Linked DNA regions of Alligator mississippiensis. The protein of the gene in region 1 purifies or fractionates together with the protein of each later gene. This does not show direct contact. Links are inferred from orthologs where the notes say so. Each region holds a gene or a part of one and is shown in the gene's direction. Other genes may lie near its edges.

The links. The genes of interacting proteins can lie anywhere in the genome.
Region 2: the proteins of WDR59 (region 1) and SESN2 purify together in Homo sapiens (affinity purification with western blotting; 4 studies listed by BioGRID and IntAct, with this or other methods). This does not show direct contact. The link is inferred for Alligator mississippiensis from reciprocal best matches to the Homo sapiens genes WDR59 and SESN2.

The regions. Positions count from the first base shown.
Region 1 is NC_081833.1:40,993,169-41,001,006, reverse strand, and holds the start of WDR59 (GATOR complex protein WDR59), read left to right. Parts: upstream 1-4,830; 5' UTR 4,831-4,880; coding exon 4,881-4,934; intron 4,935-7,838. UniProt on the Homo sapiens protein: As a component of the GATOR2 complex, functions as an activator of the amino acid-sensing branch of the mTORC1 signaling pathway. The GATOR2 complex indirectly activates mTORC1 through the inhibition of the GATOR1 subcomplex.
Region 2 is NC_081829.1:2,266,055-2,273,276, reverse strand, and holds the start of SESN2 (sestrin-2), read left to right. Parts: upstream 1-4,219; 5' UTR 4,220-4,418; coding exon 4,419-4,745; intron 4,746-7,222. UniProt on the Homo sapiens protein: Functions as an intracellular leucine sensor that negatively regulates the mTORC1 signaling pathway through the GATOR complex. In absence of leucine, binds the GATOR subcomplex GATOR2 and prevents mTORC1 signaling.

The DNA.
Region 1 (7,838 bases):
GCCCAAGCTGAAGAGGACTCCGCACCCATTTCGTGGGGACTCTGGGTGTGCGTGGCAGGGTAATAGAAACCCTGTGTGTCGCTCAGAGGAGTTTGGCGGCCTGATCCACCGCCCACCTCTTCCCGTCTTCGAACGGAGCCTACTATAAGACGTAACGACGAGTTTTATGCGCGCTTGTCCTGGACATCCGGAGTTTGTCTGCGTGGAGCCTTGCAACCTCCACGTGTGTTCGTGTTTTCTGTTGTAACCGCAACTCAAGCAAGTTCTCAGCCTACGCCACGACCATCTCGGTGTAAATAAAACAATCTTAAAATCAACCGTTATGTGTCTGTGCCTAATTCTAGCTCGGCGACCTCCCTCTCCGATCCGGCCTGCCTGGGCTACTGGCCACAGCCTGCGTGCAGAGCGACGAAAAGGGCCTGGGGTCAGACCCGGCCCGCACATGGCGACGAGGATGGGATCGGGATCGCCGCGGCACATGCCAATGGGATCAGAAGAGGGCTCGCTAGAGTTAGAATTAGTTGAGAACTGCCCTTGGAGAAGTGGGAGACGCAGCATAGCAAGCGTCAGAGAACTGGAGGCGCACCTCGCGTACCACCAGGCGGGCGGAACGGGCAGGAGATGTGTCCATGGACACCTTTCGTTAAGGGGAGAAGAGGGAACCCCAGAAGTCGGAGCCCTAGAAGGGAAAGAAGTATATCTTCACCCCGCGGCGTTCGGGTGTATCGTGGGCGATGAGCGGGTCCTGTATAGGCCCCTCGATGCTGTGACCCTTGCCAAAGTCGACCCGGCGAGCGCAGTAAGCCCAACCCCCACCCGGGAGTGTGTCCGTTGCTCACGGTGTGCCCGAGAGATGGGACAGACGATGCCAATCGGCTGGTTTTCTCCTTGCATGGTGGTGCCTAGACTGAGGGGTCGTGAGCGTCCGTCCGAGCTCCGCGAAGACCCGGAGACGGAGGACCGCACCGTAAATGAGAGAGTAGTCCTACAATGCGACAAGGGGGGAAAACTAAATGCAACCTTTCAAACTATGGCTGATTTAATGAGTGAAACTTTAAGCTTAAAGACCCAGCTGCATATGGCCGTTCGGGCGGTCGGAGAAGCGGCTGAGAAAAGGGATCTTGAAAAGCCTCAACAAGATGGCGCCGAGCGGAGAGAAGACCATGTGGAGAAGCCAGAAGTGAGGGATGGAGCTTCGGGAGAGCCCGCGAGGGTTCGGCCGGTAACTCCGCCCAGCAACGCAGCGTCGGTTCCGCCGACCGCTCCCCTCTGCTGAAGGGAGGGGGAGTCAAGTGGAGGAGTGCATCTGCCCCTCCCGCCTGAGACAGCAACGACTCCCACTGTAACAATGACTGCAGCTCCGACAGAAACAGCAACAGCAACGACAACTCGCGAAGAAATTGATCAGCCTGCAGTATCAAGCAGCCCAGTCATCAGTCCACAGAGTGCAGTTCAAGCTACCACCTATTACGCTCGTTCCAGAGCCGAACTGCAGAATTTGCGTAGGGAATCCAGGATACGATCCAACGAAACTCTGGCTGTGTGGTTGGGACGTCTAGTCGTGGAACTTGGGTCCGACCTCCTGGACCAGGAAGAAGCAAGCTTCTTGGTGAGACAAGCTTCATGGAGTAGGGGACATGTCACCGACATCGACATGGTGGCGTTTAGCATCTATTGGCCTATTCCGATTCCAGCGCTTGTGGCAGGAGTGATTGAACAGAAGGCCCACGCATGGCACGACGGCCGACCAGAGCACACCGGTGCAGAACAGCTTGTACTGGCTATTATCGGAGTTTCGTATTGCGCCTGGAACCCAAGAGAATGCACATTGGGACTAACACCGCTCCAACGAATGCGACCATGACCTCACCGTCACCTGCGAGACCCTGGAACTGTTCCGGTGACTCTCGACAGCATAGATAGTTATCTTAAAGTCTACAGGCAAAGAAACATCATGGTTTTGCAGATTGTGCTGAACCCACTGGTCGATCATCCTGTGAGTAGTCTCCTTCATCAGTTATCAAGACTGCGCGTCCTCATGGAGCCAAGACTATCCAGTGATCTTGAGTATCAACACCCGACTGAGGCTCAGAACACAAAACACTGCGAATCCGAGCGTCCAGTATTACGCCAGAGAACACAAGAGGAGCGATACATGTTTGGATACCTCCTGCAGCGCTCTGGACTTAATAAGAGACAGCTTCGGATTTTAGGAGACGCGGGACAATGGCAGCTAGCCTACGAGTTAGGTTTTCACTATCTAGAAGAAGGCGATGATGACTCATCGACGATTTCGTCGAGTTGCTAAACGTGAAAAGAAAGAGAGCTGTCCAGTATAAAATCGTGTTTACATATTTGTATTTAATAGTAATGATAAGTTTAATCAACTGCATTATCGTGCGGTCCTGTGTGATTTGTGAATAACCATTTTGAGAGAGTTCTTTTACAGATCAGGGATTCAGAGTGCGTGGTGGAGAGAGGCCCCGAGAAGGACAACATCACCGAAAGGAACGAAGGCCTGATGCGCGATTCCACCATGACGCCCACCGAAGTCATGATCATTCAGTATTTTGTTATGAATGTGATTTTATGTATATGTGTGTGTGTCGGTTATTATTTGATTCGATCCCTTGAGGACGAACTTTTATTGTTGACTGATTTTGTTTTTGCTCGTTTAGTTTTGTGAACCATTGACAGAGCTATGAATAACCCAGATGATAGGTTTGAAGTATAATTCTATTGTGCCTTCAGCAAGGGGGGATGTCATGACCCAAAGGTCTGATTTTTTTGTGTGTGCTTCAGCACTAAGAATTATCCCCGTGGGTTTACAACTTCACTGCACAGAGGAGTTCTGCTGCACAGAGAACCCGCGTGCAAAGGAGTGTTCCCGCCACTTTGCAGCAATCTTTGCAGGGTGCATTTCCCTTTGCAACACAGAAATGCACAGTGCAAAGATTTCCCGCTCATCGTATGCAAATTTGTGCCCCGCAATTGGCTAGTGCTAAATTATTCACACGTAGCGGCTAGCGATTGGCCTGCTAGCCGTATAAGAGGCTTGAGCAGTTTCCGCCCAAGCTGAAGAGGACTCCGCACCCATCTCGTGGGGACTCTGGGTGTGCGCGGCAGGGTAATAGAAACCCTGTGTGTCACTCAGAGGAGTTTGGCGGCCTGATCCACCGCCCACCTCTTCCCGTCTTCGAACGGAGCCTACTATAAGACGTAACGACGAGTTTTATGCGCGCTTGTCCTGGACATCCGGAGTTTGTCTGCGTGGAGCCTAGCAAGCTCCATGTGATTGTTCGTGTTTTGTCTGCGTGGAACCTTGCAACCTCCACGTGTGTTCGTGTTTTCTGTTGTAACCGCAACTCAAGCAAGTTCTCAGCCTACGCCACGACCATCTCGGTGTAAGTAAAACAATCTTAAAATCAACCGTTACGTGTCTGTGCCTAATTCTAGCTCGGTGACCTCCCTCTCCAATCCGGCCTGCCTGGGCTGCCGGCCACAGCCCACGTGCAGAGCAACGAAAAGGGCCCGGGGTCAGACCCGGCCCGCACACTCTGAATTTTGCCATTGACTTCAGTGAAACCAAGAATTCACTCTTTATATTGGGAAATTCACACATCAGTTCCACAAGGATTATCTTCAAGTCTAGATACAGAATTTTTGCAATTTAATTTACTTTTCATTATTTATGTGTGTTACATTTGCATTTCACTCACTTCACTGTGAAAATTCTTTCCTAATCAGCTTCTTTCATGTTCCTATACATTGGCATAAGCCTTAAATGCTGGAGCTGTCAACACTGGTTCCAGTTCCTCAGGGACTCTAATATTTGTTTTAAATTTAGTAGGGTGCAATACCCATTTGACTTCAGTGGGACTACACATGATAGCAGTGTTAAGCAAATGCACAGATCGGTGATTCTCAACCAGGATGCCAGGCCACCCTGGGGTGCTTTGACATCCTTTCAGGAGTGCCATGGGGTGCCAGACCTTAGTACTGGTAAGTGTGCCTACTGGATTCACAAGATAAACCTCAAGATCCTGGCCTGTTGTGGTCTTTCTGAGTTCTGTGCAACAAAAGATGTGCTCTGTTGTGGACAAGAAGTGCCAGGCTGGGGCAGACCAACAGTCCAGCTAGCCCTGTATCCTGCCAACGTGTGGCAGAAGTGGATTTTGTAGACTAGAGGGAGAGCGTTAAACTGGTATCAAAAGCACTGGCACAACCTTCTGGCACCACAGGGTAAGCGAGCGGTGCAGGACCAGCCTGTGGGCCAGATTGGCCCCTGCACCCCAGGATTAGGCCTGCACACCTGGATCTGGACTGTGCTTTCCCAGGACCCCATGCAACCTCCGCCAGGCTGTGCGCCAGGATCAATGCCTTGGCCCCCATGCCACATCTTCCTGGCTTTGCATGCCAGATGGATCCCTGTGCTGCCCTGCACACCAGATCCAGCATGCAGGGTTATGACCTATGGGGCTCCCCACAGCCCTGTGGAGAGCCCCACGAGCCGGATGACAAGATGCCAGGGTTGGATCCGGCCTGTGGGCCAGAGATTGAGCACCCCCGCTCTAGAGCTGCTATTCAGTACCCTCTGCAGGGTCTATGATCGTTGGTTTGGAGCTGCCAGAGGCCAAGGAAACCACTCCAACCGCTCCCTTCAAAAGCCATTTACAGATACAGAGGATCAGCCCCTGCACCAGGCGATCTGCAGGGCCCACTGCCGCCAACCGCGCAGGCCACCTGCGCCGCAGGGAAGGCGCGTCTCTGCTCGGCCTTAACCTCGCCGCCTGCGGTCATGCGGCCCGCGGCGAACTACAGCTCCCAGCAGCCCCTGCGCTTCCTCTTCCTGGCGTCACCTGTTGCTCTGGGCGGCCAAGATGGCGGCGCGCTGGAGCAGCGAGAACGTGGTGGTGGAGTTTCGGGACTCGCAGGTGAGCTCTACCCGCCGCCGCCGCAGGGCGCATGCGCCCGCCCCCCCTGCCCGCCCTTGCTGGGGGCGAATCTGCTGTCCCCGGGAGGAACCCGGGCTGCAGGGCAGGGGGTTCTCCGCTTCCGTCGGCTTTGTGCTGGGGGGTGGCGGGGCTTGAGGCTATCCCGCACAGGGCGCTGCCCGGGGCCCCTCGCCCGCAGCCGGCCGGGTCTGGACCGGAGCCCAGCAGGTGTTGTTGCCGGGGTCCCACAGCCGGTGCTGAAGTGCGGCTGCTTTGTGGGAGAGACGCGCCTGCCGTTCCTTGGCGCAGCCCTTGACCCACCCTCCCAGCGCCTGCAGCTCCTCTGGGCAGCGACTGCCTCGCCAGGGCGGTTTGTCTGCGGTTGCTTCGCATCCCGCGCGGCCTGTGAGCCGCGGTGCTGCCCTGGTGTGGGGCCAGGCCGGGAAAATCCAGAATCCAGCTGGAACCGTGGGGAAAATCTAGATTTGAGTTGGACGGTGTTAACCCAGTGAAACCGTGTTTCTATCGCAAGTCTTTCGCTGTTTGTAGTTACAGTTTAGGGCCTGAGTTGCCTGTGAGTAGGAGGGCAAAACCAGCAGCAGCAGTTACTAGAGAGAGATTTCTCTCTGTCTCTTCTTTTTTTTTTTTTTTTTTTCTTTGTGCTCTTGCACTTGCATAATATGTGGCTGCTTTCAAGAACAGTCTTTGAATAGAAACTTTCCTCTTGTTTTAGCGAGGGTTTTGAGAAGCATCAGGGACAGAAACAAATAAAATGATGCTCTGAGATGGCTTTGTATGGCCCTGATTAATGTGGTCTCATTGTTTCCACATATTTCTCATCTGTTCTCTTGTCTTACACTGGCATTGTAAACCCTTTGGGGTAAGGGTTGCCTCTTTGTCCTGCTGTTATAGTGCTTAGCAGAGATGGACCTTGTCCTTGAGCACGATGGTAATAAAGATAACAAGTAAAACCACCAAAACTAGCCTGAGAGACTCAGGGGGCTTGTGTTTTACCTACAATTATTTTTAATTTGGTTTCGGGAACTATATAATTTTCCAGTAGCATCCTTGTAATTTCTTTAAAACAAAGTTTTATGAAACCTAAAGGACAATGCATACTTGAGCAGTAAAATGGATTCCATGAATTTAATTCATTTTCAGTCATTTCACTTAAGTACTTATGTTTGAGTGACACTTTTTTGTTACCTAACAGTATATATAGCTTAAAATCTGGCACTGTCCCTGATAGGTGAGGGGACTGTTTTTCTGAATATAGGTTTCCCTCGCTTTATGTTGTACATGCATTCCTGGACAACGGTGCATGATTCAAATTCTCATAAAGGGAACTCACTTTACAGTGTAACAAATAGGGATGCATTCCAAGACCTCGACTGTACTGACCCCCAGACCTATTTCTACCACTTTTTTATTTTTACAAGACAATTTTGGTACTCGCCAACAGCAGGCAGTATACGTAAGCAAAGGGTGGTGGTGAATGTTACCATAATGGGGATGGCAACTACAGAAACATGTGTTGCAGACAACCAGCGAGGAATACAAATCCACACAGGAGACTATATTTTGGTGTGTGTTACTCCCACAATGCACCACACTAAGCAGCTGACTGCGGGTTTCTACCATACCAATTGCTAAGAGTGAATTTACTTCGCATATAATACATTTTTGGTATGAAAAGGGTCATCGCATAAGAGTGATTTCGCACATGCAGAACCTGCATAAAGTGAGGGAAACCTGTACGTTCCACCACCCCCAAATTAGAAATAAGTCAATCTAGTAGCCATGGACAGCTGTTGGTTTCAGCTTTGTGCTGTTGAGCCTCCTTAACTATGCTCTGCAGGGGCAGATTGGGGAGTTGGGGGAGTGTAGTTGTACAGTTGTATCCCACTTTGATTTCTGTTTCACCCAAGCTTTAAGGCCAAGTGCCTAGAAAAGAGCAGCATTTCTATTCAGGCAGTGCTGAGGGAGTCAATTAACTTCATGGCTCACTTTAAAGTACCTGATTCCTGATAATCTCTCTTTACTCCATAGGTATAAGTGGCCCTCTCTCCTTTTAATGGTCTTAATGTTCCATTAATCAAGTTATCCTTTTTTTCCTGCAGTTGTGCTGCCTGTTGGCTATTCCTGGTAATATATCTCTTCCATTTCATATCCCTGAAGACTGATTTTAGTTTTAGCTAAAAACCTTAACTGAGATGTAGTAATATTAATTCAGGTGAAAAGACAATTGACAGCGAAGTGTTGAATATACAGTCAAATTCTCAAGAAGGCTAGATTTGTTTTACACGTCTGAGTAAAAGAGATGCATTTAACTGTAATGACTACAGGACTAATAAAACAGTATCTTTGTATTTTTTTCACTTGATTTGTAAAACTAACAAATTAGTACATGTTCCAATAAAGTTTTATATTTGCTTTGATCCTAAACTGAATAATGGCTCCTAGCATATTAATAAATCTAGTTTCCCTTTAACTGGAGAAAAATGTGTTTTGTATTATGTGATGATGCACTATAAAAGCTGCATGCCCGTCTTCAAAATCCTGAATCTCACCATGGCTCTGTTCTAGAAATAACTGCAATCTAGAGAAGGTATTCTCAATGAAAGGGAAGTAATGAACAGGTAAAACAAATGTTGCCTTCTCCTACAGGTGTATTTGCTTTTAAAGCCCCATTCCTAAATTAGATTTCTGAAAATAATAATGATAGGAGATCTGTGCCTTGGTGTCATTTACTTGGAGTCCTTGGATGAATTTGTAGTGACTACCAGACATCTGAAGAGCCAAGACAGCTTCAGCCTGCTAGGAAATATGCCACTTTGGTAACAGAAAAATATGCCACTTTGGTAACAGAAATAATGTTTTTAAGTTGAGACATTTTAAAATGGA
Region 2 (7,222 bases), on another chromosome or scaffold:
AGCATTGACTTATCTGGAGCAATCCTTAGCTAAACAAACGTATTCATATAGCAAACTTCCCGATAACCAGGTCAACATGCCGCGTTCACCAATTATTGCCAAGTAGCCACAGGTCCGTCACGCCGAGCACTGCTGGAAATTCAGGTGGGTATCCCGAGCCCTCATCTATATCTCCTTTAAGCCATGGGTAACTTTTGACTTCTAAAAAACTGTAGTTCAACATTTCCATCATTTAAGGCTCTAGCAGTGTCATAAGCTGGGCGAGGATGATGCATGAGATTATCCTGTAAGCTCAGAGGTGCCTAATGCACTTGGAGATTTGACACTAGTTAGCACAATTGCAGCTGCTCCTTTAAAGCCAAAAGAGAGATCGGGTGCTTTGAAAAATTAGGGCCATTAGGGGAACGGGGTGCCCCTGGCTAGGGAGAAGAGTTTGGTAGCATGATGTGCCTCCTGCTTCTGCGTTGTTGATTCAGATTCAGACCTGGGGCAGTAGTGACCCTGCACGGTGCCCGTGTCCTCTCTGGTTGGTGGTCTGTACACAAGTCAGCGTGGGGCTCCTGATGGAGAAGTATCTGTTACGAGACCACTCGCCCCTCCAGCTACTGGCAACACGTGTCCGTTCTCACAAAATATACCATACGGCGAAGGGCAAAAGAGGGAGAACTCCCCTTCCCTTCTCTGGGAGCCACTTCCAGCTCAGGTCTGAGGCCTCATGGAGAGAGGCGTTTGCCTTGCTGCTGGCATTACTGCGTCCATCGGGTGAATAAAAGGGATACCATCCTTCAGGACCCAGCTGGCACTATTTGCCAATGTGATGCTTGTCCAGAGCATGTCAAATCTACTGCAATTCAACAGGAGACAGCTGAGGGGAGAAATAGAGGGTGGCATGTTCAAAGCTTCTAGGGGATGTGGGTGCAAAAGGGGCATTGAGATTAATGGAAACTGTGCATCTCACCCTCCTAGGCAGCTCGGGACATCATGGCTGCAAGAGAAGCCGAAGCGGGATGATTCTGGAAGCATTTAGACCATCGTCAGCCCAGGGCAAGTCAATTAATGAGACTGAGCCTCAGTTCCCCATTTGTACCACGGGGAAATAGCAGTGCCCTACTTTGCAGTGGTGGGGGAGGATGCAGACTTGAGCTGGAGAGGACATAAATTCATGTGATGATGGATTTTGAAACGTGGCTTTGTTCTGCATAGGACAGAAACTCCCAAACACGAAGTTAAAGTCAAACCAAACCTCCATTTGGGTGGATGTGTTTTGATTTGACTTTGCATTATAATTTGTAATACGACACACAATTATTTTAAAATAATTGCACAACAGAAACTGCAAACATTGATTTCAAAATGAAGGATCTTGACATTATCAGAATTGTGGTTTGTTCCCAGTTTTCTTCTGAAGCAAAATTCCAGCTCATCAACTTAATTTCACAACCCGCTTTGATTCTGTCAGAGCTGCCCGTTCCGGTGGTAGATGGTGCTGCTGAAGTTTCCTGCGCGGCTCGGTTCAGATACAGGACAGGCTGTGAGTAATTCAGTGGCCACAACCATCTGTGCCACACAGAAATAAGCTTGGTGGGAGTAACATTGAAGCGGATCAAATGCTTTCCAAACAGGGTGAGCTTGTAACGGGGCATCGAAGAGGAAGGAAGAAGATTTAGCCAAAAGCAAGGCCTGATTGTGCCTTGTCAATTATTATTTCAGTTTGCATCATGTAAATAATAGACAAATTGGGCACAGAACTTAACCCTCTTCTTGGCTGTCTCGGGTGTAGGGTAGGTGACAAGTGTGCTGTATGGGGAGCCGATAGGGTTTTGGAATAAGGGGCATTTCACGTTGCAGACAAGCCATCCCAAAAATTACATTCCCATTTCAGCTCGGAGCAATCTTGAGCACAGGTATGTGCTGCCGACATGCCGCTCATTCTTCCCTGATGGCCAAGTCCAGAGAAGCAGCAGGTGATGGTCTGTCTGATTAGGAAAGCACAGGGCTTGGCTCCTGCTGCTTTTGAAGAGCAAGCTCTGAAGCCTGACGGGGAAGGTCAAAACACCCTTGGCACCTTCGAAGGTGTTTTGCAACCACTGGGTCACAACCTCTCTGCAAATGGGGGAGGAGGAGTCTCGTCATCAGGCAGGCGAGGGGGTTGCGATTGAGAAATGTTAGTGCAAAGCAAACACAGGTGCCAGGATAACTCGGGGCCGGCTGAAATCTCCCTTGTTTGTGAAGTCAAATGCAGTGGCTGGGGTTGCCTTATAGCAGCTCATCATGCTTGCATTGTTTTCATTACATAGAAAAGGGAAGAAAGGCCATGAAGATGTCTAGCTTTGAAGTGTCACCCACCCAAAAAGGTTGTGAAAGATGGTTTTAGATCATCAAGTCTGTCCGTGAGTTCTGGGGTCCTTTGTGGATGCGTGCGTGTGTGTTTTCGTGCCTTTTTGGAGGACCCGACGCTTTTGAGAGAGATGCGCGTGTCTATCCTGCAGACTGCAGTGCAGCGTACAATAAAACGAGGTTAGCGCCGGTACTGGAAATAGTCTTGGGGCTCAACAGGGACTGACTTCCCCTGCTTCTAGCTGAGTTTCATGCTGCTACTTGTACACGCCTTCCAGGACCCAAGCTGGCTCACTGAAAGCCAGCTTGTGTGTCTCTGCCCTGCACTGCGGCATAGGCATCCCGGCGTTTTAACCAAGGTCTTCTACCTGAAATAAAACGAGCGCGTGCTGTGCACAACGCTACCCTGAATACGTGGAGCTGCTCAGCTGTTAAAATCTCCCAGGTATCAAATCTCACGGATGGATATTTCCATCCTTCATGGTTTCTTAGGAGCACCAAGTGCACAGCTGTGAGAGTCCAAACGGGGGCTTTTAGTTTCATAGTGGAGATGGGGAAGATTGTGGGATTGCCCATATATATATATGTATATAAAGCTAATGTTTTTAAAGCTTTGTCAGTGTGAGAGCAAGCTAACCCGCACTTGGGTTCTTAATCCCCAAGGCTTTGTCACCAAAGAGAGCTGAGGCAGTGAAAGCTTCATCCCATATTTGTTCCTTTCAGCTGCTTCCTATTGATTTGCAATAAAGGGGATAGGCTTTGGACAAGCAAGCCGGTGGCAAAATGACACCGTGATGAATGTTTCCTCGGCTTGGGTGCCCCGCGCTGTGTGGCAGCCATAGCAGCACATGCCACGATCCTTTCCAGTCGCAGAAGCTGAACAGGATCGGGCCAGGTCAGTATTTGACCGGGGACCTCCTAAACGCTGCAGATGTTGTCAGGGACTCGGGAGGAAGAAACTCTTCCCTGTGACTCAGGATTAAACGAGCATTTCCAAGCGCAGCGTGAGCAGCGCAACGTGCTGCAAAAGCGATGCACCGAAGATGCAAACCAGGCCCATTTAAAATATGATCTCCCTGTGAAAGCACGGGCTGCCAGCGTCTGTACCTCCACCGAGAGGTGGAGCTGTCTTTTCCACTTGGGCGAGGCTGTCGTCTCGCTCGGATATTGCGTTGTTGCCTCCGATAGAGGCTGGCAGAGGAGGGGGCAGGAAGGAAACGAGTCCTGCCTGGGAGTGCTGGAATCCTTGCTGGCCCCCACCGAGCCCTGTGCCGGCTCGAGGCGAGTATTACACCGTGCATGATGCTCACTCCTCTCTCAGGCTCCTTTTGCATGAAGCTGGCATGTCTCTCGCTGCAGGGCTCTTTCTGCTGCCGGCAGGGCCTGTCCTGCCCCCTTGGCATGTTCTCAGTGCCCTGCCCCGAACGGCAGGCGCCAGACCTGGACCAGCTCGGTCTCCCCAAGGCCCTGCACCCAGGTGACACCCCCTGCCTTCTGCTCCCTGCTTTCCCCCTGTACCGACGGGGCTTTTGGTTACAACATCACGCTAGGAGCTCATAACTAACGAGAAACAGGGATCCTCTGAGATGGGGCATCTATGGGGCTGGGGGGAGGTTACATGTGGACAGTGTGGCCCCCTCCTCGGAAGTCCTGCAGGCCGTGGGGCTGGCAGCGCAGAGGACTATGTCTCCCAAAATGTCCTGCTTGGCTCTGGGCTCCGTTTACCTGTGCCGTGGTGCTGGTTTTGCTACCCGATGGCCGGGCAATCCGGTTGCATCAGCTAGGGCTGCTTTCTCGGGGTGATCACGTTGCATCTGCTTGGGATGCTTTCTCAGCCTGCCCAGGCCTGGCCTGACTTGTCCGTCTGTTTGCTTTGCAGAGCACCCAACCGGCTGGCTGAGAGGCAGGAGCTCGCCTTGGGACTGAGCCAGGGGCGGCCGGACCGTGGCGTGAATGGGCCTGCAGCTTTGGAAACTCCCTGTGAAGCAACCGGGAAACCAGCGCCGGCTGACTGGGGGGAAGGCAGCCTCCAAGCCTGGGCCCAGACGAGTCCCCTGTGACTTCCCCGTGGCTGTGCTGCAATGATGGACCACGGGGAAGCTGCGGATGGTGGCACCCCTGTGCCCAGTGCTGTGCCGGCAGGAGAGCAAGGAGCTGTGGCTCCCAGGGGCCTGGATCCTGGGAGATGGGTGGGGTTGTACAGTCGAGGCGAGAGGACCAGAGAAGAAACGATGGATGCGCTGGGGCGGGAGCTGCTGAGCGGCATCCCCAGCACTGGCCCGTCCCAGGGGGAGACGGAGGAGTCCCCGGGCCTCCACCGGACATTGCTGCTGCTACTCCGGCTCTCCCAGAGCTGCCCCTTTGGAGAGACCCAAGAGAAGTGCTCCCAGCTGCTGCAGGCTCTCCAGGTAAGGTGGCCGGGCAGCTCTGGGCACCAGCTGGGTTGCAAGCACACGTCAGCAGCATGATTGCAACATCACTGCACACGTGATGTGCATGATTACGAACATCACTGCACACGTACAGCCCCCTGGTTCTGCTCCTGGCATGGCCGCTACCCCGCCGGGTGTCCTTAGGCAAGTCGCTTCCTCAGTTTCCCCTCCTATACACGGCCTGCCGTGTCTGTGCAGGAGAGCCTGTCTCTCCCCAGGGGTCTGTGCGGCTCGTGGCCCAGTGGAGCCCAGCCTCGGGTCAGGCACCTGCACAGACGTCAGCAGTCACAACAGCTGTCGTGCTGCAGCGGGATGGTTTTGTGCAGTCCTTTGTACCAGGAAAACACCTGGTGTCCTGCTGGAACCGGGCATTGCTCCCTGGCTCATAGGGCGCAGAGCTCCCGTACCCCAGGGCAGCCCCCATACCCCGAGATCGCAGCTTGCACAGCCCTGGGACCAGCCCCAAAGTGGGTGCAGCTGGTTGCAGGGGAGCTGGGATCCTTTCTCCCCATCCTCTTTGCATTGCTCATGGTCTCTGTGCAGTGGGAAGCAAAAGATGTGGTGTTGCTTTAGGCTCCCCCAGCATAGGTACTGGGCTCAGTCTGGCCCAGCATCAGCACACAGCCAGATGCACAGGGGAGCAGGGAGGCCTGGCGTTGGCTGAGGACACGGGACCAACTCCCTGCTCAGCTGAGACCTTGACATGGGCCCGGTGGTGTAGGGCTGTCTCCTGCACAACCACTGACCTCTGCATGACTCCACTTATCTGCTTGGGAAGATGAAGGGCTGATTCACCCCTGAGGCTCCAGCTGGCCAGTCCTCCGGCCAGTGGCTGCCTAAATGTCTGTGGGAAGTGGTGGAGAAATCTGCTGCCCTGGTATCAGATGCTCTTTGCCCTCCCTGGCTTTGTACTGTATCCCCCCATGGGGACACTCCCTGCAGCTGGGAGAGCCCTGTAGATGGGAGGATAGAGCCTGCCGCCTCTCCCAGAGCACTGGTGAGCTCTGAGCTGGGTGCCATGTGCTGGGTAAGGGATGCCCTTTGGTCCCTGCATCACCAGGTTGCTCTGCAGAGCAGGTGCAGTGGCTGCTCCAGTGCTAGCTAGCAGCAAAGGCAGGCAAGCGGGGGGAAAAAAGAAACCCTCTGATGGGTCAGTCCCTTCAAGCTGGCTCACAGGCACGATGCTCAGCAGACCATCCAGGTCACAGCTCTCTGTGACCTTGCTCAGAAACCTCCTCCCCTGTGCGCAAGGATAGCAGCATCCTTGCAGCTGAATCCAGATGAGAGGAAATAGGGAAGTGACTGGAGAAAGGAGCCCTCCAGGGTGCTTTCCGCTGCCCAGAGAGGAGTTACTGTACATTGCATGGTCAGTATGAGTGTTTTGTGCCACATCCGCTGTGCTTGGATGCGACAGCCCTCGGGGCTTGTATCTGTCGATCTACATTGGTAAAAGATGGAGGCAGCTAAATACCAGCATCGCTTATCCCCATCGCAGACAGTACATGCTGTACTGGTTTAACTGGGGAGGTTGTAGTAGTTTTAAGTAATCATCCTGTTACACACCTGAAAACTTTAACACCACGGAGGTTGCTTTGAAGCAAGCCCCCGACCTCTCCTGTATCAGAAGCCAGAAAACGTAACCCCATTCCCTCTGTGTGGCTCAGCCACGTGGATTTGGCTAAAGCGCCTTCCAGAAAGGCCTCCAGTCTGGATGTCTTGAGCAGTACAGAATACACCACTTTTATTATAAGAGTGAATTGCTGTTGCTATTTAAACAAAAAAAAATCCGTGCCGTTGTTTGCACTGTAACTTTGGCAGGCAGACTGGATTCCAGAGAGCTCAGACACGAGTTGTGGCAAGCTCTTTCTGGACAGAAGCATGGCTGGTTTTCAAGCTGATGGCGTGGCTTGAATATCTGCAGGGCATTTGGTTGGGAGAAGCGGTGTGATTTCAAGAGGAATCCGTTGCGGGTGGTTTTAAGATGGAGCCGGCTCCGTTTATACAGCAGGAGTTGGACTGGAGAGCCCTCAAATGTCCCTCCTAGCCCTATTGCCCACGTTGCTCCTGGGGCACCACGCATCCGTGAAGGAGGCCCCGCAGCCCACCCCGCTCTGTGCTGGCCAGGATTCGCTCTTCCAGTGCTCATCAGTCAAGGGACTTGCCCCAGCGAGTTGGTAGCAGAGTCACTAGGCCATGCTGTAACCACTAGGCCATGCATCTTTCCTCGCGCTGCTGTTGGTTGGACTGGGAGGTTGCTGCGAGGGGTGGGAGGGCAGGATGGGGGCCATGAGGGATGGTGTGACATGGGGTAGGTAGTGTCAGCTTGGAGGAGACAGAGGCTTTGGGAGCCAGCCCGTCCAAGGGAAAAAGTGTTCTTCCCCACCCCTGGCAACAGCCCTGGAGGCCCAGGGGGCTGGGCAGAGATAATCAGAGAGGCCCGCTCTCGTTAGCCA